Linked DNA regions of Schizosaccharomyces pombe. The protein of the gene in region 1 interacts with the protein of each later gene in a biochemical or structural test. Each region holds a gene or a part of one and is shown on either strand. Other genes may lie near its edges.

The links.
Region 2: the proteins of tbc1 (region 1) and alp41 interact in a test that uses a peptide from one of them, tested with the Schizosaccharomyces pombe proteins (one study listed by BioGRID).

Annotation. Positions count from the first base shown.
Region 1 is NC_003424.3:3,488,531-3,502,815, forward strand, and holds tbc1 (tubulin specific chaperone cofactor C Tbc1), read right to left. Parts: upstream 6,043-14,285; 5' UTR 5,654-6,042; coding exon 5,623-5,653; exon of another isoform or gene 5,542-5,622; coding exon 4,976-5,541; exon of another isoform or gene 4,745-4,975; coding exon 4,562-4,744; 3' UTR 4,059-4,561; downstream 1-4,058. Other genes in the region: ubiquitin hydrolase Ubp2, read left to right, coding at 1-2,154, 2,239-2,304; bsd1 (heavy metal ion homeostasis protein), read right to left, coding at 3,053-3,868, 3,937-3,954; odc1 (2-oxoadipate/2-oxoglutarate transporter), read left to right, coding at 6,180-6,245, 6,517-7,347; rps502 (40S ribosomal protein uS7), read right to left, coding at 7,957-8,458, 8,747-8,856; Sla1 family protein Shd1, read left to right, coding at 10,519-10,752, 10,899-14,285.
Region 2 is NC_003424.3:691,410-709,152, forward strand, and holds alp41 (GTP-binding protein involved in beta-tubulin folding Alp41), read left to right. Parts: upstream 1-5,876; 5' UTR 5,877-5,881; coding exon 5,882-5,946; exon of another isoform or gene 5,947-5,991; coding exon 5,992-6,046; exon of another isoform or gene 6,047-6,086; coding exon 6,087-6,159; exon of another isoform or gene 6,160-6,211; coding exon 6,212-6,357; exon of another isoform or gene 6,358-6,395; coding exon 6,396-6,476; intron 6,477-6,518; coding exon 6,519-6,659; coding exon of another isoform or gene 6,660-6,768; 3' UTR 6,769-6,813; coding exon of another isoform or gene 6,814-7,032; 3' UTR 7,033-7,070; coding exon of another isoform or gene 7,071-7,432; 3' UTR 7,433-7,474; coding exon of another isoform or gene 7,475-7,695; 3' UTR 7,696-7,738; coding exon of another isoform or gene 7,739-7,954; 3' UTR 7,955-8,000; coding exon of another isoform or gene 8,001-11,148; 3' UTR 11,149-11,193; coding exon of another isoform or gene 11,194-11,346; 3' UTR 11,347-11,631; downstream 11,632-17,743. Other genes in the region: atp20 (F0-ATPase subunit G), read left to right, coding at 121-247, 297-394, 444-575; mitochondrial aspartyl/glutamyl-tRNA amidotransferase subunit B-related Aim41, read left to right, coding at 1,158-1,316, 1,440-1,652; lon1 (Lon protease), read left to right, coding at 2,422-5,625; mug62 (putative AMP binding enzyme), read right to left, coding at 6,624-6,768, 6,814-7,032, 7,071-7,432, 7,475-7,695, 7,739-7,954, 8,001-11,148, 11,194-11,346; ATP-dependent DNA translocase Rdh54, read left to right, coding at 12,380-12,558, 12,606-12,704, 12,796-12,871, 12,913-13,127, 13,164-13,354, 13,407-13,480, 13,516-13,647, 13,686-13,749 and 7 more; DNA-binding transcription factor Atf31, read right to left, coding at 15,435-16,064; SPOM_SPAC1296.01C (phosphoacetylglucosamine mutase), read right to left, coding at 16,646-16,718, 16,759-17,522, 17,570-17,743.

The DNA.
Region 1 (14,285 bases):
TTAGGACTTGAAGCTGAGGTAGGCCCGGATTACAGGTATAGTCAAGAAAAAATCTTTGAGGCGTTTCATTCTGCCCTCCTAAGAAAACCTGAATTTGCCAGAGCTATTAGGAACGATTTGGAGACTATTGGCTATGCAAGAAAGAGTTCTGAAATTTTAAATTATGTTTTGTCTACAGAACAGGCTTTTTATACGGTTAATGAAGCCTACCAATGGTTGGGCATTAAGTCTAACACCGAGGACGCCATGGTAGCTTCTGTGGCCTTAGTGAAATTTGAAGATGATAGCGACAAAGCCATCGAGGCCGTCAAATGGATAGCTGAAGAGAGAAATAGCTCCATTTTGTACGATTTCTTGGCTTCACAAGGTAGACCTTCCAACAAGAAGCCTAAAGAAGTGCCTATGGATGAAGATCTAGCTTACAACACATTAGGTGTTCAAGATCGTGCACTATCAGATGACGTTTTAATCAATGTATACGGCTTTGCTGTTGAAGACCACCCAGAGCAATCAGACACTTTGAGAGCAGCTTTGAAATGTATAGGAGAAGTTAGGAATTCGCGTTTAATCACTCATTATTTAGAACATGGAAATCTAGATATTCCACCAGAAGTTTCAAGTTTGGATACTCCGATCGGTTTGGAAAATACTGGTAATCTTTGTTATTTGAATTCCCTGATCCAATACTACTTTATTATAAAACCTCTTCGTAATGCAATTTTGGATATTGATGAAAACAAAGATCTTAATATGATTGAAAACAAGGAAGCTGTCAAGAAAGTTGGTGGACGGATTGTTACTCGAATTGAATTCTTGAGGGCTTTACAATTCACTTATGAACTCCGAAAATTATTTATTGAACTCATTACTTCAAAGTCATCGTCTGTTCATCCTTCTTCAGTACTGACATATCTTGCTTTAATACCTCTTACGTTGGACCAGGTCAAATCTGGAACATCCTCGGTTATGGATTTGTCATCGTCTCGAGAGTTGAGCAATTTGAATGAGAGATCTATCACTATTGACCCCAGAGCAGAAGAGCAAGCTCAAGGGCTTGAACAAGAACAAGGACAGGATGAGGCCAAAAGTCCAGCGGAACAATCTTCATCAGTTAATTTAATTGATTTTCCCATGGCCAATACTAACGGAGAGTCTCAAACACAACCTCATTACTTTGAAGTATCTGAAGAAGAAATAAACTCCTCCATGGATTTAGGTCGTCAACAAGATGTCTTGGAATGTATTGATCACGTTTTGTTTCAACTGGAAGCTTCACTTGGTCGTATTTCCAACTCAGAAGATCGTCTTGGCTCTGATAATGATCTTATACGACGTTTGTTTTCTGGCAAACTAAAACAAACACTAAATGATGCTAGTCAAGGAGTACGGTCTAACTATGAGATTTTTTCTCACTTGATCGTTGACCTTTTCGAGGAGAAACAAACATTGTATGATGCATTGGATGGTGTTTTTGAAACAGTCAATATTGATATGGGAAGCGAAACTGCCCAACGATCCTTGTGTATTACTGAGCTACCGATAATTTTGCAATTACAAATACAGCGTGTCCAATTTGACAGGACTACTGGACAGCCTTTCAAGTCTAATGCATTTGTTGAATTTGGAAAAGAACTTTCCATGGACAGATATGTTGAAGATACTGATGGGAAAATGGCACCTTTACTACAAAGGTACTGGGATCTAAAGCGTGAAATTATCAACCTTCAAAAACGACAACAGCTATTGTTAACTACAAATTCGAATCTAATGTCATCTGTTGATACATTGTCTATTCTATCTAAATGGGCTGCACAGCAGCAGGATTCGAGACTTCCTATTAATCCAAAACTTCCTGATATCCTTCAAGAGGAAATAAACAATGTTGTCGCTGAAGTGGATATGCTTAAAAAACAGGAAGCCAGCTTAAAAGAAGAAAGGACGCATCTTTTCGATAATTACATCAGCCATAGCTACGACTTGCTTGCTGTATTTGTGCATCGTGGACAGGCTTCATTCGGTCATTATTGGACTTACATTCATGATTTCGAAAACAATGTGTATCGAAAATATAATGATGAATATGTTACTGTGGTAGATGAAAGCGAAATTTTTGCTGATACTACGGGCAACAATGCTAACCCTTACATGCTTACGGTAAGTCGTTATTATTTCCCATTTGAGGGAAATAATCATTTTCTCAAATTTTTTCCAGTTTACATATAGCTAACATTTATCTAGTACATTAGGAAAGAGTATCGACACATAATTGAATGTGTTCACCGTGAACACAATCTTCTGCTTTAAAAACTATGTGAAGGGTAAAAACTAGGATGGATCATCCGTGATCAATTGCTATGAATGGAGGTTGGAAGTTGTAACGTTTTTCACGATATTAAAGCATGGAAGCTATGAATTCATATTTCAAAAATCTATTTATACATAAAAATTTAGTTATACTTTATACATCGGTACGGGTTAATAATCTATTAGTCTTTACTATAAAGAGAAAATTTTTCTATGACAAAATTGCAAAAAGTCTAGCAAAAAAATTGAAATGTAAACAAACGGCTTTTATTATTAAAATGGCGATTATCGCAAATTTTATTATAAGTAGTAATCTTTGACAAAAAATGTAATTAATAGATGAAACTAGTAGAAGTTTCCAATAAATAAGTCAATAAATCACTATAGAAGTACCATGGAAAAAACATAAAAGTAGCTGTAGAATCAATAGCAGGTTTTAAGGTAATTTGAACGAGCTTTGTACAAAAATACATCAACAGTGCCGTGAATGTGCCAAGTTATTCATCAAAGAGAGCGAAAAGTAAAATGATGCGTCGTAAAAAAAATCAGGTAGGGCAAGATTAACTAATAAACTAGGTATTTAAAACAAGGATCATCCGCCCATAAACCGAAATAGAAAAAGAGAACATGTTTAAAGAAAAAATGAAAACTATAAGGGAAATAAAATCTTAACACATAAACGAAAAAGTAAGGAGCCGATTATTTTGTAAAGTATACGGCCGCAACTAAAAGAACCTATAGATCGTGACTAAACCACTTCTTCCGGAGACGTTTCACCAGGTGAGTCTGTCCGACTAATGGCATTCTTCATACGGCGTATTCTGATGAACCCAAAGGTGTCTACTAGTACCAAGCACCACCCGATTATAATGAGAATAGAGCCTATAAGCTTCTGATGTGGTAACTCGTCGTAATTGTATTGATCGTCGTTATTCTCCATCCCACTCTCCGAAATCATTATGTAGCCACGTTGAAAAAGAGTTAAACTAAGTCCAATTTGAGCACCATAACGACCCAAATGAGTCGTCGATAAGACATATGTGACAAGAAATCCTACAAAAGGAAAGAGAATAGCGACACAAGCACTCCATACAAAGGAGAAACCAGTTCCAACGGACATCCCATCAATGTAAATCTCGTTAGATCCGTAATCTGGAATTACCATAGTGGTATCCCAGTAAGGAGGGGCGGTATCCGCAGCAGCCTGTTCATAAGAAGGGGGCTCCTCTTCCAGTTCTTCAGTATTAGATTCCACTGTGGGTTTAGCAGATAAATTAGAGAAGACACTATCAACGTGATGGCCATCTGCATGATTTGATGAAGTGCTGGGAATTCGATCATTGCTACTACGTACATGCCCAGAGTCGTTGCCAGGATCCGGCGTTGATAAATGTTGGTAAAAAGCTTCTTCTCCTTCTATTGATGCTCTGGCAGAGCTATATAAAGGTGCTGTTTCACTGTATTCCACATCGTCGTCTGGAGGCTCGAAAGCAGCTGCCAATTCCGATCGATTTGTAGACCGGTTTTCCGGAAATTCAGGTATTGGAGTATGAATTGAATTTTGCTAAAATAGATTTGTTAGACTGATATATCAGGGAATTTAAACAGTATAAAAAGAAGGCTTATCCTTACATTTGAATTAGTACTCATGGGAATTGTGATATCTTTCAACCCGTATATAATGAGGTAAAGTGATTAATGAACGTTCCCAAAAATTTCCGTATTTTTGTTTTTTAACCCACTAAATGCTCTTTGATTTTAAATTAACAGAGTGGTGGAAGAGTACAGGATGGATCGAAACCATGGTATTATTAATGATCGTTACTTGCAAGTAACAACTATATTCAAAATCTGTAGAGAAATCAGATTAAAAAAAAAATATGGGAATTGAGTGTTTTAGGTGACATATCAGAAGCTAAATTCCCGTTATAAATTATTTTTGATATCTATTCTTTTCAATAAACCAAACAAGCCAATTGAAATCAATGGCTTGGGTTATAACAATTAGTGATCAGATATGTATTCCGACAAGAAGTGGTATAAAAAGTCGAAAATGAGAAACAAGGAATCTCAAAGGATTTACTGATATAATCGACTTGGTGGTAAGATGGATGGATGACATGAATGATTAGAAAGGCGTACGAAAGAATATTAAATTAAAAAAAAAAAGCACCAACGAGTGTATGTCAGTAAAAGACCAAGCTAAACCGTTACGTATTTTTACTAATGGATGATTTTGGTGCATACATATAGAATTTTAAGCGTCAAAAAGGTCACTAGTGATACGAAAATGTGGAGACGGGTCAGAGCGTGCCCAAGTAAAATCCAAAATAGGATGCTCATCTTTATAAGAAAAGGATATCTCCTTTGATTCTTCAATGACGGGCGATGTTTTGCATCGCAGGTGCACACGAAGGTTGGTAGAATGGTGAAGACGAAACTAGAAGGCGTTAGCGATATAATCAATCAAAAGAAGGGCCAGAAGGCAAAGTAAAATCAAACAGTAGAAAGCATTATCAATTTTGTTTACACAGCATTGTTGTGATCCATACTAAGAATATGGGATCTAAATATTGACAACCTAATATAATGATAGCAGTCTCTACGTCTAACTAATAGTTTCCATCAAAACCATCGTCTAGATGCCTTCAAATTTATCAAAAAAACTTACTTGGTGACACGATACACAGATTGTTGAGTCGTTAATATCAGAAAGATGGATAGAACCCTGAATGGTTGGGAAAGTAAAGTTGCATTTTGTAGCGTTATGTAAGTTCACAGATGAGCAGTTGGATATGGAAATATTGCATGATCGTAAACTTTTTGCGGAAACTTTGACAGCTTTGTTGTTAGGATATGGAATGACATTATCTCCAATGTTTTGGTTTTTCAAATTTGCCAAGTACAGGGTGTCATTTTCAAAATAAACTTCTGGAGCTTCAGCATTAACTGTAATATTTTTTACCGGTTTCTGGGACGATTTGACGTGCAGTGCCCGTTGAAAGCGAAATGGCTGTCTGGGCAAAATGTCGTGTCGAATTTGCTGAAGCCTTCGTGTCAAATCTACTAGTTGTTCCATGCATACTCTCCTGTCATATGGTGCAATTTGGTCTTGAACTTCATTTAGCTCCCTCGTCATTTCACCTAAATATTTTGACTTTTCTTCAAGCCAAGTCTCTTTTTCGGAGCGAGAAGTCTGCTCACTAGGAGTGGATTTATATAATTTGGTAAGAAATTCTACAAAAAAGTAGTTAGTAAATAGCACAACAAACAGACCTTTCGATATGAACGAAATTGCAGATGTAAATAAACCCATACCTTTTCTCAATTCGACGAACTTTTCAGACATTTTTCCTTTTAAATTAGAACTAAAACACCCGTTATATATGCAAAATTAAATCACAGTACGTTATGCTGTGTTCAATGATCATTCAATAAACATATATTTTTTCAATTTTAACCTGCACCAAAAGTCATTCAAACAGCTCGGGAAAAAAAGGATTCTTAAATAAATTCATCAAATCAGTATTAGTTTTAATCTTAACTTCGATACTTCGGGTGCAAAAATTATTATGAATTTTTAAAATTGAAACCAAAAATCCAACTCTTCAAAGGCGAAGTACAGAAGACAGTGCCTTGAAATGAAAATTATCTTCACTCAACTCAAAATGACTTTAAGATTTGGAAATAAACGAAGTTTTGTCGATTTTATCGTTATGAATATTTTTAGCGGCTCTTATCTTTTATCATTGAGAATCATCTTAAATTTACCTGTATGTGAGCTCAACAGATGTTTGCCTTCCATTCCTTAACAACAACGCCCAGCAGCATTTGTTAAGTGTGAAAATTGAAGTTTAACTACTATATTATCGAAAATGCCTCATGATAATATTCCATTTCCTGTTACATTTGCTGCCGGCGCAGTTGCTGGAATCTCAGAGGTAAGGTTTTTTATTTGGAGCACTTTATTTCATTGAAAGATACGTTTGAAGGCTTTCGGAGAAGAATGTTATTATCTTCAAAATGCTCAATGAATTGCGTAAGGTAAAAGAGCTGTCTTGGAGATGAAGGAAAGCAAACGTTTGATTCCGTAGATGCTGAACGAATTACTTCTTTATAAGTTTTATCCCATGTTTTTTAAATCTCTCTTTACCTCTCTTTTACCATTAAAACCTTTAACATGGCCTTGTTTACTAACTCTTTCTTTTTCAGGTCCTAACTTTGTATCCTTTGGATGTTGTTAAAACTCGTATGCAACTGTCCGTTGGTAAATCAGACTACAATGGAACCTTTGATTGTCTCAAAAAGATCGTCAAGAATGAGGGTCCACATCGTTTGTATCGTGGAATTTTACCTCCAATCTTGATGGAGGCTCCTAAGCGTGCATTAAAATTTGCTTCCAACGATACTTATTCAAAGCTGTGGCGTAAAGTCTTCAAGAGAAAGGATTCAAGTCCTGCACTTTCTATCCTCACTGGATCATGTGCAGGATTTACTGAAACGTTCGTAGTCGTACCTTTCGAACTGATGAAAATTCGTTTGCAAGACGTTAAGAATGCTTCTAAGTATAACGGAACTGTCGACTGCTTTACTAAAATTGTAAAGCAAGAGAGAATTTTAGCTCTTTACAATGGGTTTGAAGCCACTATGTGGCGCCATGTCGTTTGGAATGCTGGATATTTTGGTGTAATTCAAAAGATTCGGAATTCATTGACGCCTGCCTCGAGCAGAATTGGTGAAATCCGTAATAACCTTATTGCTGGAACTATCGGAGGAATATTTGGTACATTCCTCAGCACTCCCTTTGACGTTATCAAGTCGCGTATTCAGACAGTTCCTCGTATTGCCGGCCAAGTTCCAAAATATAACTGGGCCTATCCAGCTCTAGTTACAGTCGCAAGGGAAGAGGGTTTTACAGCCCTGTATAAAGGTTTTGTCCCTAAAGTACTCCGTCTGGGCCCTGGTGGTGGTATTCTTTTGGTTGTTTTTAATTCTGTCATAGAGTTTTACAAGAGATGTCTTGTACATAACGCCTCTGCTTAGAGATCAAGGTTTTTTTTGTTTTTCTCTCCCCCTTTTTTTGGTTCCTAAAAAAATTTTTTTCATTGCCGGGTCTTCAGTAAAGGTTGAAAGAAAAAAGTTTCCTACGACTTGAATTCGTGGGCTCTTTTATCGTATTTAGCAATCGCTAAATACGTGTATATTTGTTATCAAAAGTTTTTTGGCTTAATTTTCTCTTTTTTTTGTTTACATTGCATGTATATATTTTCCATCCCTGTTAATCATTTCGATGCTGTGTTAATCGTTAAATTTAGCAAGTCTTTCATGATTGAAGAGTACATATTGATTTAAACATTGACCTTCGAAAAACCGTTGTGTTTTTCTCTTAGATTTGCGATCATTAGTATAAGTAATTATACAACGCAATCTGTTTCAACACTTTTTAGAATTTTTGTTATATGTCTTCATTCCTTCAAATGAAAAAACTCAATCAAGCATCCCAGCCATTTCGGTATATTTATAATATTATATTCTACGTGATTACTACAGTCGTTATTTTTAAGGTGTGAAAAACAAAATCATAGATAATGAAATACATTTATTAAATGGACTATCCAGTTGAAGACCCAGTAGTATTTTTTCGTAGCTCTTTTAACGGTTACTCTTGGCAACACGCTCAAGCTCATCCTTCTTCTTGATGGCGTAAGAGTTGGAAGAGCCCTTAGCAGCATTGATGATTTCTTCAGCCAAGCATTCAGAAATGGACTTGACGTTACGGAAAGCAGCCTCACGAGCACCGATGGTGATAAGAGCAAGAGCTTGGTTGACACGACGAAGAGGAGAAACATCAACGGCTTGACGACGAACAGTACCAGCACTACCAATACGAGTGGAGTCTTCACGAGGACCACAGGCAGCAACAGCATCAACCAAAACTTGGAGAGGGTTTTGGTCGGTCAAGAGAGCAATGATCTCAAAAGCATGCTTGACAATGCGAGTGGCCAAGAGCTTCTTACCGTTGTTACGGCCGTTCATCATCAAACTGTTGGTCAAACGTTCGACAATGAAGCAGCGGGCCTTACGGAACCTCTTGGTCTGGAAACGACCAGCGGTGTGAGGGAGAGGTTGACCATTGCCAATGGTAATGTAATCACTAAATAAAGTTAGAAATTCTGAAATAACATGAAAAGTTGGTGTAAATGAAAACTTTTGTAATTTCCAGCTGCTTTTTCCACATTTGCTCCAAGGTTTAGGTCAAGTAAAACTAGTGAATTGACTGAAAAAAAAAATTACAACAGCATATCCAAGTAACGTATTGTCAGCAGTTCCCTTTCATGAAACCAAGTAACTACAATTGAATTTGTATATTTCAGACAATTCCAAGCACAAAATCTGGAAAGTTTACTAGCAGCTAGAAAACACAATCCCACCTTATACATACACCAAAGAGATATCCTTCACTTCAACACCTTCAAAAGGAAATTTGTTGAACAATTTGATATGTCCAGTTTCATCCAAGGAAACTTCTTTAGGGATGATAGAGGCTGCCATTTCTGTGGTGGTTCAGACGGTAGCTTGTGCAATGTACCTACTAAACCCACACGAACATTTGTGACCGTTCAATAATGAATTAGGGTAGGGTTTATCTGTCGATACTTAATAATGTTTGTTATGTTGAATAAAGTAGTAACTGTTGATTTAACTCAATTGTAATAAATTGTATAATTTTTTACCATTTAGGATTTTTAGTTTTATATAGAAGGCGCTCTATGTTATATTATCTTCACATTTCTACTCTATATGCTGGTATTTTTGGTCGATCGCTGAAGCATGCAAATCGAGGTTAACATAATATTGTTTTGTTTTTATTAACTATTTGAATACTTGTAGCATATAAGTAATACTTCATATACTAGTTTGTAATACTGAGTGTTAATTATATTCCTGATGCAATAATTGCTTGCTTAAAGAATAAGCAATAGCAACATGCGTCTAAATTTCAGCAGACAATTTATTGAATTTAAATTGAACTAATAAATAAAAATATTATATCCATTGAATAGGATAACTATAGAGTTTATGGAATTTCTTGGAATTTAAGCATAATTCATTTATTTATTTATTTATTTTTTTTAATTGTAAGTATAGATGTACCTATTGTTACCCAAAAAAAACTCCAATTTAATAACGAATAAATGATATAAAAAATTGAATTACGGCCTAATTAATTTGGGGTTCTTGTTATCCATTTTTTCCCTATTATACTAGCATATTTTCATGTAATTTGACAGCGCACAATTAGAAACACCCAATTGAGTGTGAACTATTAAACCACCGAAATCTTTTAATTTTTTTTTTCTAATTAAAAAGAAAAAAAAAAGAATTCACCATAATCGCAGTTGTTATACTAGAAAATTATTTTTTTGTTGCCTTTTGGTACTAAAACTCCACACTGACGATAGTAATACAACATAATGCTACCAAGTATAGTTTATTGTAGTCAATATTAGCAGCCAAATTAAAGAAATTAAGAAAAGTTTGAAACGGTCCTTTACTTTGCTTACTTACAAATAATGTGATTAATATTTCAATTCACATTGCGACAAATCTTAGCTCACATTGGATACGAAAAACATTCGACTTTTTGTCAATCTCGCAAACAATTTAAACTAGCAAAAAGGTAGGTAATTTATTTCTTCATTTTTATTGAATTCACAGTTTGCAACTTTTATTCGATGACAATGTACGAGGATTTTGTACAGTACATCAGAATATAGATCTGGAAAGCATGGTCTTGTACTCAGCAATTTGTACACTTGGTTCTTCGAGTCATTTACTTTTCGTAGTTTTCAATTGCCAGCTCACTATTCGGTTCCAAGTTGCTAACACCAGTTGGCGGTAGGAAGGCCATAGAAAATAACTTGCATACCTTTAAGCATTATTTTATTTGTTAAAAAGCAACAAACCTTTCTTCTTCAAATCGTATACCTTTTAAATTTCTTGGATATAACGAGAATCGCTGCATCATGTAAAACAACCCATAATGAAATAATAGGGTAATATTACTGTTATGATTATTTAACAAATTATTGACTACATCGTTATAGATCTTTAACTTGTTGCACTGCTCATCACTACCATTTACACAATCTGGTAAAGCCACCTTGGCTACATCGTTTATCAACTCAGACTGTACAACCTACATTTGTCGCCATGGCAAATTTACCTATAATAGGCATCTATAAGGTGCTGTACAGTTATGAACCGCAAGAAATCAATCCGGGTGAAGAGATTCCAGAAAACGAACGAGAAATCTCGATCGTTGAGGATGAAATTGTTTGTCTTCTTGAGAAAGGTGAAGACGATTGGTATCTCGTCAAACGGAATGTAAACAGTAATGATGACGATGAAGAAATTGGAATCGTTCCTTCAAATTATATTACTGAGGTATGTGTAGAATAAATGACAGAGACCACGGTCTTCTACATGTTTGATGCGATAGGATACGTGAAGGAGAAATAGATCGAGTCTTGTCTTTGCTCATTTAGTAATAATGTTATTGTAAAGCCGCTTGCTAACCATTTTGTGTATAGGCTGAACCCTCAACAAAAATGAAAGCTTTGTATGATTATACTCAACAATCCGTTGATGAAATCTCCTTTCAAGCGGACCAAACTTTAGACTGTTATGGCGACACTGATTCAGATTGGATTTTGGTTGGTTTTAATAATAATTTCGGACTTGCTCCGAGAAACTACGTTGAGGGGATGGATGCGTCCAGCGCCCCGGCATCTCAGGAACCCTCTGCTTCTGGTGTCAACGCTCCAACAGTGAGCGCTCCCAACTCCATGGTCTCTCCTCCACCTTCGTTTCAACCGCCGAGTGCTGCTGCTCCAGCTACTTCCTTGCCCTCTGACTACAACCCCCCACCACCACCACCACCTCCTCCGGCAGTGGAGGATCAGGCGGCAGACGCCAACGAGCCAGATGACTACTACTCCTCTGGCAGAGCCGTGTCTCCTGAGATTCCTCCCACGTACACGCCGAAACAAGCAGATCCTCTTCCGGCTCCTCCCCCACCACCACCTCCAACACTTCCACCCCAATCTACTAATACTTCTCAGCTACCTATGCCTTCCCGTAATGTGAATAATCTTGGCTCCCAAGTTAATATTCCTCCTCCACCGGCCACCCCTAGTCAGCCGCCAAGACCCCCAACTAATGCGTCTACTAGATCTACTGGCACTTCCTCTTCTATGGCTCATTCCTACGACTCCCCTCCTTCTCCTTCGTCGCCTTCAGATGCATATGGAGATCCTAATCAGCATCTCAAATTGCGCACCGATTCCCACGACGATTCTCGAGCCTACGATTCCTCTTCCTCCATGGGTAATCCTGCCTACGAAAAATGGGAGGTCCGTGAAGTCGTTGGCAAGAAAAAGAAACGCACTGGTATTTTAGCAATCAACAATAAGTCAATTGTTCTTACTTTTACTAAGACCATGGACGCTGCCCAAGTTTGGCCCGTTACCGATCTTGTAAATTATTCTTCTGAACGAAAACATGTTTTTATCGAGTTTAATAGTGATTCCGGTATCACATCTTTGCACCTTCATGCGAGCTCTAACACTAATGCCGACAATATTATCCGTGCGCTAGGTGACGTAGCCGGTTCCGCCAGAGCCGCTGGTCTTCGAGAAATCGCTGCCGCAAGTGGAAGCCCTATGCCTAAACTACCTTCAGATTCTGCTTTACACCGATTAAATGCTGCTAGCGATGCAGCTGGTGTAAACGGAGGCCGTACCGGCGATTATGAAATGTCTACTGTTTACGGCGACAGAAGTGCGCGTGCTGAGGACCATAAGCCAAAGGATTCCTCAGCTGGTCAAAAAATGGGTACTGTGCTTTACGACTTTATCGCGGAGGCTGCTGATGAGTTGACTGTGAAAGCGAATATGCGAGTGGTCATTGTCAATGACACAGCAAGTAGCGACTGGTGGAAATGCAGTGTTGATGGTAAAGAAGGTGTTGTACCCAGCAACTTTATTAAGCCCGATACAGAAGGCGACGCAAAGTCACCCCCTTCATCTTCGAAATCTGGTCAGGGATCCTCGCTTTCTAGAAGGGCTTCCAAGCACGAATCTAAACACAAACGCGACAGTAAACATGAAGCAAGACCAGAAAGCAAACATGAGTCTCACCGTGAGAGCAAGTCCGCTGAGAAGGACAAGAAGGACAAGAAGGACAAGAAGGAGGATAGCAAGCGTTCAAGGAGCCATTCGGTTAGTAAACCTGACAGCAGTAAACTGCGTACGTGGACTGATCGAACAGGCGCCTTTAAAGTTGAAGCCGAATTTTTGGGCTATAGCGACGACAAAATTCATCTACACAAAACTAATGGTGTGAAAATATCTGTTCCCAGTGCGAAGATGTCGTACAAGGACCTGGATTACGTTGAATTAATGACTGGCAAGAAAGTTTATTCTCGTACAGAAAGGAAAAAGGATACACAGAAGCAAAGCCATGATCATGGCCATAGTCATAGCAAGTCGCATGATCGTGAGAAGGAGAAAGAGAAGAAGAAGGATAGGGAACATAGGAAGCACAGAGAGACTGAAGAGGAGGATGAAGGTCCACCTCCCCAACCAGCCCGTCCTGAAAGTACTAGACCTGCTCTTGCTCCACCCTCTTCCTCTCATAGCAATGACAAATATGATGTGATTCAGGAAAGGCCCAAGATCTCTTATGACTGGTTTGACTTTTTCCTTCGCTGCGGCGTAGATTTTACCGTTTGTAACCGCTACACCCATAACTTTAACAATGAGCATTTGGATGAAGCATGCATACCTTCTCTAAATCCTGATACACTTAGAACATTGGGATTAAAGGAAGGTGATATCATTCGTGTTATGAATCATGTTAATGAACTCAATGGTGTCTCAACAAAACCTGCATCTGCCATTACTCCAGAAACCAAGTCCACAGTCAACCAAATTATGTCCGGCGGGGAGGCACTTGCTGCCCCAGTCGCAGTACCTGCCCCCATCCCAGCGCCGGTTGCCGAACCTGCTCCTCCAGCAGCACCTGCCAAGGAGGTCGTTGAAAAAGCACCTAGTCCACCAGCGACTCGTCCGAAGTCAACCACACCCCAGAAATTCGATGATGATGCTTGGGCTAACAAACCTGTTACGGAACCCCCTGTTCGTGCTTCTTCTGTCACTGTTGAGCCTGCACGTGTGACGGAATCCATGAACAAAATGAACATTTCTGAGGAAGCCAAGAAACCTGAGGCGCCTTCAAGACCCAGAACTGCACCCATCCCTGAACCTGAGGAACAAAAGAAAGCACCTGTTGAGAAAAAGGATGCGGAGAAGTCGGTCCAAGCACCTATTCCAGCTCAACCAACTGGCAATATTACTATTCAAAATGCATATTTCACTGCTCCTCAACCCATGGCTGCCGATCCATTTCAATCTCCTTTGTATGTACAGCCAACTGGATTTCAACCTCCTCCTAGCGCACTTCCTATCCAACCTACAGGATATATGCAACCAATTCCTGTTCAGGCCACTGGTTATCAACCTTTAATGGTACAGCCCACTGGCTTACAACCCCACATGACTGGAGTTATGCCTCAGGTGACTGGAGTTATGCCACAGATGACTGGAGTTGTGCCACAAATGACTGGAGTTATGCCACAAATGACTGGTGTACAAGTTCAGAAGACTGGGGCTATGCCACAGCAGCCCGTAAACTATGGTTATCAAGTTGCTGGTATGCAACCACAAGCCACTGGTATAATTTCGCAGCCCACGGGCATCCGTGCTCAAGCTACTGGTATAATGACACAACCTACTGGCCTGCATACTCAAGCTACTGGCATGATGCAGCCTACTGGTATGCAACCTCAAGCTACTGGTATCATGCCCCAAGCTACTGGCATGATGCAGCCTACTGGTATGCAACCTCAAGTAACTGGT
Region 2 (17,743 bases), 2.8 Mb from region 1:
AATTACCTATGAACGGAGAAAAATTGGTGTTACTTAATTGGTATATGGGAGTAGAAACTTCATCACAACCTTAACTTACCGAATCCCATCTCTTTCCAATTCAGGCTATTTCGAAGTATAATGTTTTCCACAAGTCGAATTATCTCTCGTATTAATTACAATTTTTTAAGGAAGAGTCACTACTCTACTAAAACAGTTGCTGAACAAGCCAAGGGTCGTTTCACTCCCTTAATCCAAAAATTATCGGGTATTTTAAACATAACGGTTAATTTGTTTAACTAACTTTTTCAATTTAGCTGTACAACAACCTATTATGTACTGGGCAAATGTTTCGAAAGAGCTGGTTCAACAAGTATATCATTCTCAAAAAATTGCACCCCCTTCCAATACTCATGTAAGCAACTATTTGCTACAAAGAACAGATCCACTAATTTCTCTTTTAGTCTCCCTTCCTTTTTTGGAAAAGTCAATCCTCTGAAGCATGGGGCCGCAATTTTTTCATCGCAGTTGAAATAGTTGGTATTTTCTGCGCTGGCCAGATGGTTGGTCGTAGAAAAATTACTCCATATCATTAAAAAGATGAATTTAATCTTTCATAAAAGCTTCTGATTGCTGGATACTTATGCATTTCAACTACTGCGAATTCATTTTGTCTCCAACATACACCAGGCTGTTCAATAAATGAGACTATTAATAACTATCTTTTGTTAACATATTAAGATGAGGTCTTTATAAAGCATTTCTGTTAATAGGGAAACTAAATTATAGGTCTTAGGTAGCAGGACCTAATTGTAGGCGTAAGTGTTATTACCCGGCACTGTATTGCTTGTTTTTCAATTTTGATTTTGAATAACCATTAATTTAATTGTAAAATCTACCGAAAGCAAATGTCTCATTTTCGCAATCAATCTTAAAATCAGTTTGTACTAATAAATAAATATTGCTAAATTGATGGAGTTACCTCACTGTCAATGAGCGATTTCGCATATTTTAGTTTCCACATCTCCAAACAAAATGGGATAATCCTACTACCAAATACTTTCTGCGCTACACCACCTTTAGGGGAATTTTTGGGTCTGACCTGAAAACATAATCCAAGAAAAAGAATTCAATGTTTAATCAACGCTTAGTACACACATCAAGGATAGCTATTCGTAATGTACAATACTTACGCTATAATAGTACATGTAAGCAAACTTAGGAATAGTCATTTATTTGCTAACGCTTCAGCAATCCCAAATCTTCAAGCAGTTATTCGTAAAAAATTGCTGGATTCCATGAAATCTAGGCAAAAAGATGTTGCGTCTACTTTAAAAGTACGTTGGAAATAAAACGTGACGGTCTACATGTTAAATTGCATCAGTGTTCAAGCAATGTGAAGAGGCTGTCAGAACTATGTTATCTATGTTTGTAGATGAATATGACGCTAACAAGCTTAGGTATTTCTCTCGGAAATCGAATATGCAAACAAGTCGAGTAAGCCAGTTACTACAGACTTAGACGTTCTGCGAGTACTTAAAAAAAACATAAAAAAGCGTAAACAAGCTATTGAACAGTTTCGCAAGGCTGAGCGTCTTGATCTAGCGGAAAAAGAAGAATCTCAGATTCAAACTTTACGACAATTCCTACCTGAACATGCTAGTAATATTTAAAAATCTGTAAAAAGAATACAATCTAGTCATTTAATAAGTCTCTATCCTTCAATGCTTTATCAGCTTACCCTCGAATTTAAAAATATCTTGACTTAAATAACTCAACGTTCTTAATGTGTGCAAGCCACGCTACTAAAGACAGTTTCTTTTGGTTTTTTAATAACAATGTTATACTACGCAGCAATATGACACGATTGATTCTGCAACGTATCATTACATATCCTGTAAATGCTATGCGCTCTTTCAATGTTTTGAATTGAACAGCTAAGACTTATGTAATGAGAAGCTTTCTGAGTTTTTTTACACTGATTCAATTTATGCATGTGAGTTTCCATTCATACAATTAAATTAAACAATCGTCGCTGTTTTCAGCTCTTAACAGCATTATCTTATTATTAGTAATGAAATTTTGGTTAAAATTTGATAAGCGATCGGTATCTTAATTATTTAAAATAAAAGTTAATGCGGTAAAGTAAGTGAAACTATTGCAACGCTTCGATATCTCATCTGTTGAACTATTTGAAGCCGAAAAAATTGGAAACTTTAATTTTTTTCCTTTATAATGAGTATTGTATTAAATGCTTGAATGGTTTATTTAATAGCATTGGAGGTTGGAGGCAAGTAAGCCAATTCCCTCTTTGCGCTCATTATGTGACGGCGACTTACCAGCTAACTCAGCAATTACCAACTACCTTTAAATACGCCAGAAAATTAATAATAGCCCGAAACGTTCTTTGTGCCAGTTTGTAATTTAAATTCGTACAGGCCCATGATTACACGTTTATCGGGCGCTTGCTTGAGGCGATCAGGTGCTAAAAGAAATTGGCCTCGTGAACATTTGGTTCATCGGTCTTTGCTTGCTAGTTTTTCCACTACACAGAGGGTTTTAAAATGCTCAGTCGGACCTTTTCGTACTTCAAATGTTGTTTTCAAAAGTAAAGAACCAAAAGATAACAAACCACTGGATAACAAAAACGATCCCAAAAAGACACATAATGAAGATGAGTCACATACCAACGAATCTTTGCCATCTACGGATAAAAAGAAAAAAAAGGATAATGACGATTTTAAGCAAAATTTGAAATCTTCTTCAAATAAGACTGAGGAAAAGTATTCTGCTACACAAGCTTCTAAGTCTAAAAATGACGAATTTGAATTAGGTGGTGAAGAAAATGAGGATGAAATGCCTTTAAATGGGGAATTTAATAAAAATGTTCCGGCCAAATATTCGGTTCCTGATGTGTATCCTCAATTACTTGCGTTACCCATTGCGCGACGACCTCTTTTCCCTGGTTTTTATAAAGCCATAGTTACCAAAAATCCCTCTGTTTCAGAGGCCATTAAAGAACTGATTAAAAAGAGACAACCTTATATCGGCGCGTTTTTGTTGAAGGATGAAAACACTGATACCGATGTTATAACGAACATTGATCAGGTTTACCCGGTCGGTGTTTTCGCTCAAATCACCAGTATTTTTCCAGCAAAAAGTGGTAGTGAACCTGCATTGACTGCTGTTTTATACCCTCACCGTAGGATACGAATAACTGAACTGATACCTCCAAAAGAGGATGCTGATAGCGCTGCTTCTTCAGACGCAGCAGAACTTGAAACCGATAAAAGCTCTAATCTTTCTTCCAATGGAGAAGTTAAGTCTGATCTCAAACAAGACAATGGGAAAGAGGAACCTGAAAAGGAAGTTGAAAGCACACCCTCAATTCTTCAAAACTTTAAAGTCTCTCTTGTTAATGTCGAAAACGTTCCTAATGAACCTTTTAAACGACAGGATCCTGTAATTAAGGCGGTAACGTCTGAGATTATGAATGTTTTCAAAGATATTGCAAACGTTAGTCCCCTCTTTCGTGAACAAATTGCCAATTTTTCAATATCGCAAACGTCTGGCAATGTTTTTGATGAACCTGCTAAATTGGCAGATTTTGCTGCCGCTGTTTCGGCTGCAGATCATCGCGAATTACAGGAGGTTTTAGAAGCTACAAATATAGGAGATCGTTTGCAAAAGGCTTTGTATGTACTAAAAAAGGAACTATTGAATGCCCAACTTCAGCATAAAATTAACAAGGAAATTGAGCAGAAGATAACTCAACGCCATAAAGAATATCTTTTAACCGAACAGCTAAAGCAAATTAAAAGAGAACTTGGACAAGAACTTGATAGCAAAGAAGCATTAGTAACTGAGTTCAAGAAACGAACTGAAAGCTTGAGTATGCCTGATCACGTGAAAAAGGTTTTCAATGATGAACTGTCCAAATTTCAGCATTTAGAACCAATGGCTGCTGAATTTAACATTACTCGTAATTATTTGGACTGGATAACCCAACTTCCTTGGGGAAAGAGGTCTGTTGAAAATTTCGATTTAGATCATGCAAAGGAAGTCCTTGATCGAGATCATTATGGGCTTAAAGATGTTAAGGATCGTGTTCTTGAGTTAGTAGCTGTAGGTAAGCTAAGAGGAACTATGCAAGGAAAGATTATGTGTTTAGTTGGTCCGCCAGGTGTCGGTAAGACTTCTGTTGGAAAATCTATTGCATCTGCCTTAAACAGGGAATTCTTTCGCTTCAGTGTGGGCGGTCTGACTGATGTCGCTGAAATCAAAGGACATCGTCGTACCTATATCGGAGCAATGCCTGGAAAAATTGTGCAAGCTTTGAAAAAGGTGCAAACTGAGAACCCTTTGATTCTTATTGATGAAATAGACAAAGTGGGCAAAAGTCATCAAGGGGATCCTGCGAGTGCACTTTTAGAGCTTTTAGATTCAGAACAGAACTCAGCTTTCCTAGATTACTATATGGATATTCCACTCGATGTTTCATCTGTTTTATTTGTCTGCACGGCGAACACCATTGATACTATTCCTCCACCTTTGTTGGATCGTATGGAGGTTATTGAACTATCTGGATATGTTTCAGCTGAAAAAGTTAACATTGCTAAAGGTTATCTTATACCCCAAGCCAAAGCTGCTTGTGGTTTAAAGGATGCTAATGTGAATATCAGTGATGACGCTATTAAGGGTTTAATTAGTTACTATGCTCATGAAAGCGGTGTACGAAATTTGAAAAAATCTATTGAGAAAATATTTCGTAAAACATCTTTTAGTATTGTTAAAGAAATTGACGATGAATTAAATTCTAAAGAGAAGTCTACGGGTAAGTCGGGAAAGAAAACATCTCCTCAATCATCAGAAGATGCAGCAAACAAAGAAGCATCATCTGTTCCGTTAAAAGTTCCCGATAAAGTTAATATCGAGATTGAAGAAAAGGACTTGACTAAATATTTGGGTCCCCCCATTTATACTTCTCAGCGACTTTATGACACTACTCCTCCTGGTGTTGTCATGGGACTTGGTTGGACACCCATGGGAGGTGTTTCGATGTATGTAGAAACTATTGTTAAAAACATTTTATCATCCAATTCTACTCCCTCTTTGGAAAGGACGGGGCAACTGGGAGATGTGATGAAAGAGTCATCTGAAATTTCGTATTCCTTTTCAAAAAGCTTTTTGTCTAAGCATTTTCCAAATAATAAATTTTTTGAACATGCGCGTTTGCATATGCATTGTCCCGAAGGCTCCATTTCTAAGGATGGCCCATCAGCAGGTATCACAATGGCTACATCTTTACTTTCTTTAGCATTGGATACTCCGGTACCAGCGACTACTGCCATGACTGGTGAGCTAACCTTGACCGGTAAAATTTTACGCATTGGTGGCTTACGAGAAAAGACGGTTGCTGCCAAATTATCTGGTATGAAAGAAATACTATTTCCAAAAAGTAACTTAGCCGATTGGGAACAACTTCCTGATTATGTTAAAGAAGGTTTAACTGGTGTCCCTGTTGCATGGTATGATGATGTTTTTAAACGGGTTTTTTCAAACATTGATGCCGAAAAATGCAACAATCTTTGGCCAAATTTAATAAAGTCATCCTCCAAGCAGCATCAAATTTCACCCAGTCATTAACATTCTCCTATTAGAAGGATACTACCTTTATGAAGAAATTATCTAAATTCATTATGTAATAGATATAGTTAATAACGATTTATGTATTGTGCTATATTTAAAAGACAACATGTAGTTTGAATTTATTCTGTTCAATCGTTCGTAAAACAGTAATATCTTTCTATAAAGTTGATAGCTTAAGCCCTTGTTGAGTAACGCAATGCAAGGCAAATTCATCGCATATTTTCTTATTTCTTGGTTACTCTACTATTGAGAAATGGGATTATTGACTATTTTGAGACAGCAAAAGCTAAAGGAACGAGAAGTCAGGGTTTTGTTACTGTAAGATGATTCAAATATATACAGAGTGAAATCTAATGACTTTAGGGGGTTGGATAATGCAGGTAAAACGACAATTTTGAAGTGCCTGTTGAACGAGGATGTAAGTATCTTTTAAGGCTCCATAATTTATCGATTGATAGGTAAATGAAGTTTCGCCTACCTTTGGCTTTCAAATTCGAACGCTTGAAGTAGAAGGACTCCGATTCACGATATGTACGTAGCTTGCAATTTTCGAAATGAACAGTCTTAAGCTTACTAATTCAAGGGGACATTGGGGGGCAGAAAACGCTAAGAAATTTTTGGAAAAATTACTTTGAATCAACCGAAGCAATTATTTGGGTTGTTGACAGCTTGGATGATTTACGTTTAGAAGAATGCAGAAATACATTACAAGAATTGTTGGTAGAAGAGGTAGGCTGAAAATGTGAATTATCTTAACATGCATATAGAAACTTTTGTTTACTTCAATTTTGGTTCTCGCTAATAAGTCTGACGTTTCCGGCGCACTTTCATCCGAAGAAATTAGCAAAGTCAGTTTACAATTTATGAATCCAAGCTAACAACAAGTCAAGATATTAAATATTTCTAAATATAAATCATCGCATTGGCGGATTTTTTCGGTTTCAGCATTAACGGGCCTTAATATCAAAGACGCGATAAGCTGGCTTGCTAATGATCTAAAGGAGATTAAGTTGGGAACTATTGATTATTAAGTTTTCATCCGAGTAATCGTAAGAATCGGTTGTTCCAATCAACTCAGTACCTACAAAATCTTCGTTGAGAAGAAAGTCCTGTCGAATTAAATAGCTTGTCATGTGTTTCCTAAAATATTGTTATTTAGGCTTCTCATTAATAAAGATCACTTACAGGTCTCCTCCAGTCCATTGTTTTAGGATGTCTGCTCTCCTTTTCTCACCAGTTGGACGACGCAAAAATGTTCCTTTCGGTACGAAGGCAACACAATCAAGTATGATTTCATGTGCTGCCAAAGCCGTAGCAACAATAATTGGTATTAGGCTAGCGAATTTTTGCTGACTATGTACTTCCAGAAGAATTACTACGGATCCTGACGCTTGAAATAATATGCTGTGACATTAGCCTCTATAGTTTGTGATGCTACTTACCACCCATCTGTGCAAATGTTGGGATGCACTAATTCGATTGTTTCTTCAATATCCTTTACGGAATGGTTAAGCCCGTTTAATTCGAGCGTATTCCATATGAAATCTAAAGTATATAAAACTGGAACTTTTTCCATATTCTGGTCTTTTTTCTTCAAATGATGAATGAAACCTAACTGCCCTGTTCTCGAATAGCTCTTTTTATCTAATGTCTCTTGCACTAGAAGCTCGCATCCAGAGTTGAGTTCGTTGTTTTCACAATATGAGCCGTGCTTTCCGTTAATCCAAATTTCTCCAATTTCTCCTTCTTGACATATGTATTTTTCTTCAGGGTGAACTATGCATATTTCATTGTATAATGTGCTCTATATTAATTAGTAAATTGCTGCCTAATACTTTTCACGTACAGTTCCGGACCCATAAAGGAGTGGTTGTCTGTTTCTTAGGACATCCTCTCTTACGTTTACGAGACCGCTTCTTAGCTGATTGGCATCAAAGTAATCCTTCATTTTTTCCATGCTCGAATCCGCATTCCAACAAACGAAAGGATTGATCGGATGAGAGTATGCCAATTTTACCTTGTTGGGAGCTAGTCCAATTCTGGCGATATCTTCAATTATACTATTAACTAGGTCTTGTTAGTAAATGCGTCTTTCTGTTTTCCTACTTACCTCTAGAACTTATTGGTCTGTCGTAGCAAGGCACAATAATGCTTGACAAAGTGGAGTTAATAACAATGCTATTACAACCTTGAGCTGTTGAAAAGCTTTTCTGACAAATGTTAAGTGGAATCATAACCTTTGATAAAGAGTTTTGCTCGATAGCCTCAAAAAGCAGGCTACCATTGTTACATAAGTTTTCTTGTTTTATCAATAAAGTTGGTACTCCTATAATATGCGTTAATTATTTTTTTCACATTTTGAAAATATTTACCTGCATATACTCCAAGCAAGGCAGTATGCAATAGGCCCATTCCACTTGAGAATTCAATCCCACCAATGATTGGTTTTTCTTCATTTCCAATTACAAATTCTTTTTGTTCATGGCAAAATGCCAGAAGACTAGAATGAGAAAATTGCGTTGGGATGATGGAACCATCTTCCAGCTTATTAATACTAATTAGCGCGACTTTCCCTTTATTATTCAATTCCCCCGGGGTTATTAGATTCAATGCTTTTTTTGCACGTTTTGAAATGGGGATTCCAGTAGTTTCAAATATTTTGGGTGCCTTCATGTTGAGGTCAATGCAAGTTTGTTGAAAGTGATTTGAAATATCCCTGGATTTTAAAGATATAAGAACTTTATGATCAACAAGGATTGCTTCCACATTGAAGGCCTTTGCAATTTTTGTGAATTCTTCTATTTCCCCAATCAATTGTGATATTTCACGAATTTGAAACGGTATTGGTATCACCCCTAGGTGAAAGCAGCTATGTATGCTGATCAAAAACTCTAATGGGTCGTAATAAAGAAGTAAAATATGTGATCTTGCTTTAGCTTTAACTGATAACTGCATATATTCAACATGAGATGCAACTTTCAGCTCAAAATGGGCCCAAGTCAACTCTACTTTTGTTTTTTCGATAGCATTAAAGGTTAATATGGCAGGTGAAGTTGGTGTCTTTGCAGATTTGGTTTTTAAAAAGTCAAGGATAGTAAAGTGATTAAGCAGATTTTCTCGTGCTTTACTAACTTTGTTTTGATGCTTGTACGGATCCATCTTTTGTTTAACATTTAAAGAGATAATCTCTCTATGATGTTTGGAGGCATCTTTTGACCAAATTCCTTTTGAATTGTTTAAATTAATTTTAGATTTTGGTAATGCTGAATCCATGAAAAACCTAACATAGGATACAGGAAGATTTCCTGACAAAAAGGCCAGTTTACACTTATTCGTGTTGATTGCTTGGATTCCCATATACCTGGATCGAGGTAATGATTTGTAAGGAGCAATAAGTATGCTTAGGACATCTAATTTGAATATGTCTTGAGTGACTTGGAAGCTGCTCTCTGTTATTTTTACCAACTCTGAGAACAAATCTCTTCCTTTAAGCCGATTATTTCGAATTAACGAACGCTTAATAATTGGACTTTCAAGTACTAAAACGGAGTAAACTGCTTTGTCGATTTCTATTTCAAAGGCGACACCATCAAAAATTTCGGGAACATATTTCATGATTTTTTTAATCAAGTAATGAGAATAGTGTACATATTTTTCTTCCATTAACTTATCAGCGACCATTGTTTTCCGATATTGCCTGATTTGTTCATCTTTGTTTCCAAGAACAAAAATCTTTTCGTTATGCAAAAATCCTTTTAGACCACTATCCATGAATGAGTTATTCTTTTCAAATTTATTTTCTTGGTTGTTTTCGTAATCAGTTAATTGTTCCCCTTGTGGGTTGTTAATCACGCTAGCAGCTTTCAACTTAGGAAGACAATCAGAATAAACCCAAATTTCTCCAACTTCACCAACTTTGCATATATTCTTCGAATCTTCATTAACAACTGCCACTGATGCCTCAGGGATTGGATACCAAAAGGGAGACATGCAAAGGACTTCGTTAGGAGAATATTTTCGGATATCTAGAAATGGAACAATTTCCACTTTTTCCTTTTCTATTGAACTCTTTAATACCAAGATCTCTTGATAACAAGTATCGGCCATTTGCCGTTCATGTTTCTGTCTGTTGGTGTAACTGATCATCCAGTCTTTGAATGAAATAGGTATTCCACCAAACTTTCGCAAACATAATATCGGAGTGATTACCTCTTTGGAATTATTGGTACCTAAAGGTTGCAACCACCTATCTGAGACTATAATGTTGAATTCCGGGTCTACTACTTCGCATTCAACCATACACAACTTCAAGGACGAAAGGTTCGGTGTATAATTTTTTTTAAATGAAAGTGTAGATTTAGGATCCTCCTGATAATTGTACACTGTCTGCTTCAGTCCAGCATAATCAAACAAACTGTATGTACATCGATATTTAGTAATTAAATATGCTAATAAACCTGGCGTTTTTAGTACTTCTTCATCACAAAAGATGGTACAATATCCTGCAAACACAGAGTTGAATACCCCCATGATCAATCCTAATGGCATAGATGGATGGAAATTGGTAATGAGAACATCTTTCGAATCCTCAAAATTATGGAGCTTCCATCCAGCTTGACGAGCTGGATTGGTTATCATGGACGATGTCAGATTTCTCATCTGACTTAAAAATGTTTTCGTGGTATAAACAGCCTTAATATCATTATAGGTCGAGGAGCTGAACGTGTAATCAATGAGAACTGTGTCATTCGCACGCATCCGATACTGTTTGATTTGTTCAAATTTGTAGTTTGTAAAGTCGTTTGATTTCCACCATGCAAGGCTTTTTGCATTATTCACCTCTGTATCTTTTATGAAGATACGATAAGTAGCCTCTGTAGTAAATGCGACACGAACTTTTTCTTCATTGACAACCAACTTGAGACTTTCTGAAGATGAGGAAGGACTCAAAGGAATTACTACTATTCCAAGCAACAAACAGCCAAAGATACTAATAATATATTCTGAAGCTTCCGATTTTCGATAATATAAAATTACTCTGGTTCCAGGTTTAAGTCCAACGTGATTTTGCGCAACAGACGCAAATTGTTTAGCTCTATTCAGGATTTTATCCCAACTGTAACTCACAGCTTCTTTCCCTTTTTTATCGATACAAATATGAGCAGTAGAAGTTGGATTTTTATTTCTTCGATACTCAAGGACAGATATAATATCCTGCAGCGCCATCATTGAAAATGTTGGATTTCGTGGATCATTAATTTCAAATCTGGCTCTACGTGGAACTGTGAATTGTAGTTTTTCAGCTGCTGTGGCAGTTGATATATCTGCAAACAGCTTCTGAGATACTTTGGCCAATTGTGGTTGCAGCTCTGCATCCCTTGCTCTTTTCACATATTTTAACACTGGGTCTGGTATTGTCTCAAAAGGCAACTTGCTTTTATCTTCATATTTCGAATGCCTTACGGGATGGATTTTTTCGTTTTCTGAAGGTTTCATAAATCTCAGCACAGTATGACTATCCTTGAAATTTTTGCATTTAGTAATTTTTTTTTATATTACTCTTACCGTTTCACTTTTATAATAGACATCGTTTGCTTTCAGCATATGCGCATCTGTTCGAAGGGCTGAACCAGCAGAACCAATTTCAGATATAACATCCTCTTCTATGTCATGCAGTTTTGTCTTCTTATTGAAGTTGAAAAATGATTTTAGACTCATTTTATGGCTCACGTTCGCATACAGTTAGGAATTGAGGATTCCAAAGCTTGTATGAGAAATGTAAACAAATCGCTTATGTTACCTGTTACCTGATTGACTTCACTAAGGATAAACAATAACATTGAATGAAGTAAAAGTGTACTAAGTTTACAAATCCTAATTCAATTTAAAAATTTAGAAAGACTATGCTCTATCCCTGTTCCCCATCATTATTCATTTATGTGCGCAATTAATTTTACAAAATTAACAGTAAATACCAATCTTTTTTATACATATTAGAACGCAAAAAGTTGGATTGTATCAGCTTTTCGAAAAAAGATGCATCTACCAGGGATCGAACCTGGGACCGTCTGCGTGTAAAGCAGAAATCATAACCACTAGACTACAGATGCAACATACAACTAACAGTACTAATTAATATAATTTATTAACTAAGAAACCTGTCTTTACTAATAACGATTGAGAAAAAAGTGATAACAACAGGCTAAGCATTATGCGCTAACTTTGTTTAATTAAAAGTAAACATTCGCAAATTTTGTTGATAACAATGGACAAATTTAGTTGAATACCCCCATATTCATCGCTGTTTATTCTACCTTTCAGAAACTGTTCTTGTTAGTCAAAAGAAACAATACCTGAATAGAAACATTTTGCGGGAATTCATTCTTGCAAATTGTAGATAATTTATTTAATTTAAAACATTTTACGCTATAAATTTAATGATAAGTTACAAATTGCCGCCTTTTTTGCTTTAACATGATGAAAGTTAATTAGTAATAAAAAAAATTATATGAACAGAAGCAAGAGACCTTAATTTAGTACGTGTGATACTATTAATGTTTATTACGTTCAAAATGATGATTGTACCTAGAAGTGCAAAATATTACTAACCGATTTTTACGCGCATGCTTCAGAACTGCTTGCATTTGTCTAACTTGAACACCACACGTTCGGTCTCATAGTATTGTTGAGTAAATAAACACAGTTACCAAAGAGAATTGAAACCTTACTTTATTAAAACTGAAATCTGAACATGAAACGAAGAGCTACTTTTCAATGTCCATTAATTGAATCTACCATAAAACATCAATCTACTAATTATACCAAAACAGAAACAGCAACTACCTCACACGAAGTATCTGAAAATGCAAATGAACATAAAGGAAAATCAAATATCGACATAAACAAAATTGCTTATTACAATGTTGTATGGTATGGTAGCACAATCTCTTTTTTGACTTCATGACTAAACGCGTCAGGAGAAAAATTACTATGAAGAAACATAAAACATGGGAAGGGGATGGCTTTCTCGTTAGAGAAGACTCAAATTTGACTCTTTATAATTCAGATTTTACAAGGTATTCCTACATGTCGAACTTACTAAAAATGAAGTCGCAAACAATATAGCATCTTTTATTGAGAGATATTTTTTATTAATATATGTTAAAGACTCGGATCCTGTCATTCGAGGGTGCCACAAATCAAAGAAGGAGAATTGCTTCGCATTTCCGGGAAAGAAATATCTGTAAGATATACATGTAAGCGAATGTTTCTCATCATCTTTAGATTGAGAAGGAAATCTCTGCAGAAAGTTATGAAGCAGGCACACATATAGATGATTCTCTCCGAGACGTTCATATGCCTGAAATGAAGCGTAAATTCAAGCCACCTTTGAGACCTAACACAATGTACCAGACAATATCAGCACTACCCAAACCGAGGCATGATCCTACTGTGCTTGGAGCTTTGGTGATGAGCAGGCCCAAGACTTGGGATCCAAGGTATGGTAAAAGTGAATGCTTGATCTAACATTACAGGACGCATGTAGATGTTGTTATTGATCCTTTCCTTTCAAAGCATCTTTATTCTCATCAGCGGGAAGGAGTTTCCTTTCTTTACGACTGTTTATTAGGAATGGAAGGAAAATGTGGATATAGTGCAATTTTGGCTGATGAAATGGGCTTAGGAAAAACGTTGCAAACTATAACAGTTGTCTGGACTTTATTGAGTATGAGACTTAGGGTTTTTTTTAACTTTCATTCTCTAATCTTATTATTTAGAGCAGTCTTATTACGCCAATCGTTCTTCGACTATAAACAATGCAATGGTCGTAGCACCTGTCACTCTTTTGAAGGTAAGAAGTTTCAAAACTTCATTACTAATGGCTAGAATTGGGAAAATGAGTTTTATAATTGGCTCGGTCACGAGCGTATTCATGTTTATATAGCTAGATGCGCTGAAGATTTCCAAGAATTTACGTCGAACAAAACTTATTCGATTATCATTACAGGATATGAAACGGTAATTCCTTTATTTATTCTTTTTTCTAATTGCTAAAGGTTTGTACGTACTTGAGAAACTATGGATGCGGGATTGATATTGATCTTCTAATTTGCGACGAAGGTATTGATTTGTTCATAAATAGTTTATTAATCTTAGCTCACCGCTTGAAGTCCATGAGTAGTCAGACTTGGATTACGCTGAATAAGCTAAAAACTAGAAAGAGGCTTCTTCTCACTGGTACGCCTTTACAAAACGGTATGAATCAGTGAATGCTATTTAATTTTAACCGCTCAGATTTGTCAGAATATTTCTCTATGGTTAACTTTATAATTCCTGGATCTCTGGGGACCCCAAATTCTTTTAAAGCTCAGTATGAGCGGCCTATATTAAGGAGTAGATCAATGAATGCTTCCTCTAGGGACATATCATTGGGAGCTGCAAGACTTCAAAGGGTTTGTTTACTAAAGATAAATTTTATACTGATTTTTAGCTTTTTGAATTTACAAGCAATTTCACGTTAAGGAGGAAAGCCAATATACTGGCTAAACATTTACCGCCAAGAAGTATGCAAATATTAAAATCAGTATTAACATAATAGCCGACATTGTTTTATTCATAAAACCAACACATCAACAAGAGAATGTTTATGGACATGTTCTCGATGGTTTCAAGTCAAGCGTTGATCAGAAGGGCTATTATCTTAAAATTTTGACTCGCTTGAGCAAGATATGCAATAGCACCATTTTATTGAGAAATGAAAAGGAAAATTTTTTGTCAACGGAGTTGCAAGATAAGCATGTATTCGAGCAAGAGAATATGTTGCTCTCCTCTAGCAAACTGCAAATATTGGCTGCGCTACTTAAAAGTTTCCAAAGGGGTTGCCAAAAAGCTGTTATTGTGTCCCAATATAAAGAAACTCTCGAGTTGATTGAATTGTTTTTATCAATTTTGCATGTCCGTTTCTGTAAATTGCTTGGAAGTACTCCTTTCTCTGAGCGTGATTTAATAGTACACAATTTCAATACTTCCAGCTTCAAAGAATTTAGTGTGCTTTTACTTTCAAGCAAAGCTGGTGGCTGCGGTTTAAATCTTACCGGATCCACTAGGTTAATAATTTACGAACCAAGTTGGAACCCTGCCCAAGATTTGCAAGCATTGTCAAGGATATATAGAAGCGGGCAAAAGCGGCCAGTCTGTATATACACATTTTTAAGGTACGACCGCTTTTACGAATAACATATTAAGTTATGCAGCAGTGGAATGCTAGATGAGCGCATTTTTATTCGCCAAAATACTAAGCAAGGGCTTTCAAGTTCGTTCATAGTATGTGATTTATTATAAAATTTTATACTGACTTGATTGTAGGATTCCGATGCAAGCCAAAAGAAGAATTTTTTTACGGGTGAAGACATCAAGACACTTTTTTCATATTCAAAAACTGAAACTTGCTTGACATATGAATTAGCATTTGATTCTGATGAAATTGATTCATTAACAAAGAAAAAAGATCCGTTAACTAAAATTGACCATACGATTGATTCCCCAAATACGAAGGAAAAAGATAAAGAAATCAGTTCTTGGAAAAAGGCTTCTGAATATATGGATACTAATTTGGTAAGTTGTATTTTCATCCTAATATTAATGGCCAGGGGAAAAAGTGTCCAGAGAACGCATTTCAAGGATGGACTTGGCAATTTCCGAATGACCTAAGTATTATGAATGGCGTAGAAGATTATATCCCTCTTGAGCCTTTACCTATCAACTGTCTAATGCATAAAAAGTTCGAATAGATCTATTTCGGACTTTTAAGGAGGCGTAAGCGGTTTTTCCTTGCCCATTAGAAACAACGCTTTTGAGCAAGCCTTCGATACTGGGCAATCTCTATGAGCAAACACCAAGGTTCTCAGTTTAATTATTTCTTCTCTTAAATCATTAGCACTTTGCAAAAGCTCCTTGTTTTCAGAAGTGTAGTAGTTGACTTGGTCTTGTAATGTTTGTAAGTACTTTTTCTTTTTTATCCTACACTTTTGGGCAGCTTGTCTGTTTCTGGCTTTCAACATTGACTGCTTAGTTCCAGTTAATTTGGAAGTGTTTTCATCACCTGAGTCATCCAGCTCTCGTGATGGTGAGTTGTGTGAAGCCTCGGAAATTATACTGGGGCTTTTAGAGGCAGTGTATTCTGATAATTCATCAAAATCGCTTCTCCTGATATTATATGGATCATTGTTAATAGGGGATCGATCGTCGCCGAGCTCTAAAGCTTTACGTTTGGCTGTCAATAAAATCTGAGTTTGCATAAATTGTGAAAAATCGAGGGTTTGGGAAATTGAGATGTCTTTTTCGAAACGAGAAAGATAAATTGAGTTGTATTCTTCTCCATCTTCATGCTTCGGAATAATGGATTCCTCGGTTGGTGTATTTGTTTCGTAGGTCATGCTGAAAATGATTTATTGATCAATAATTTTTTTAAGAAAAATTTATAGCGTCTTATGAAAGACTTCTTTTTCGCAAACGAGTAGAATTATATATTTGATTTTTTTTATGAGTTTTTGGCACCAACTTCTTTTAATAATCGATTTCAAAGTGATCACTATAAACGATAAAATTTGTACAGCTGGATAATGCCGATTAACTGGTAAATAGGTGAATTATTGAACTTTCCGTCAATATCCTTTATAACAGCTTGATACAAATATGAGCGTTTGTTTGCTCACGCGAGGTTTATATAAGTCCTTTATGAGGGAATATTAAATTCAAGCATTGTGAGGAAGTCCATGTAAACAAACACTTTTTCTTGTGAACACAACAACAAAATTATAATGCCTGGTTATTTTAAAAAATTACTATCAACAAACTGTATACAAGTATATTCGCATATGTATGCACATATTTTTGTTAGATATTATATAAGAATTTGGGTAACCAAAATTATTACTAGATATCCCTAAAAACAACATTAAACAAGACAGTTCCATCATAACCAATTTAGTCATTAACATTTAAATTTAAAAATTGTTTAATGTAATAGTTCAACAATGCGGAGGGCTAAATCCTCAGATTCACCCCTTGAACTAGCTTCCGCATACACACTACAATTAGAGTTAGAATGATAATTAACATTGAACTTACCGAACAGCATCCTCGGTTCCAGATGATCGAACAAATGCCCGACCGCCCGTGTATTTTGCTACCAAAGCGTCAATTTTTTCTTGAAGTCCTTCCGGTGTTACTAGTTTTTGTTCGGCATCAGTAGTAGTATAAATTGACCGGTCTTCTACTTCACAGCGAATTAGACGACTAGGAATTTCGCTATATAGCTGATTCCACTCTTTCAAAGTGCAATTTTTGTGAGCCAAAATGACTTCCACCAAAAGTAAATTAGTAATAGCATCTCCATCAGTTTGATTAATCAATTCAAAGACTGTTTTTAGAGTTTTTAAGGCATTAAATTGGGCTGGAGACAATACTTCATGAGAAATTATCTTTGATAATGCAGCATGAGAGACTAAAATTGTACCATGACCATTTGCTTCAAAAAATACTCCAACATCGTAAGCTTGAGCAGCATGGTAAAGATGCTTAAGACCGGGAGACACACATAAAACCGGTACCTTTAAAGTTTTTTGGAAAAATGCCGTGCTGGCTCCATTTGCATAAGCAGTCTGAACAATACCAACTTGAAGGTCCAAACCAGTAGAACGGATTAGGTCGATTAGAAATTGGGCAAATAAAGCGCATATTTTGTCACCATCTAACAGATGAAAGCTGTGAGAGCCAAACGCAAAATACACAATTCGATCAGCATCCCCGTCAAAAGAGGCACAACGGGCATGTTTTGGGGCACTAATACCGTTTGGAGGCTTTTGCTGAGTCCTTACAAAATCCGCTCCACACTAGTAAATTAGCATGCAATTGTAAACAATGTATCAAAAAAACTTACCGAGTTATTCAACAGTTCAGGATTATCAATATTGTCGTTTACGATTTCGATAGGAAACAGCTTTGGATCAATATACTTGGCCAGTTCTTTTATCTTAGCCGCTCCGACGCCGTTAGCAGCATCTATCAATACAGTCCCTTTAATCTTCTTTCCTGTCATTAAGGATTGATATGC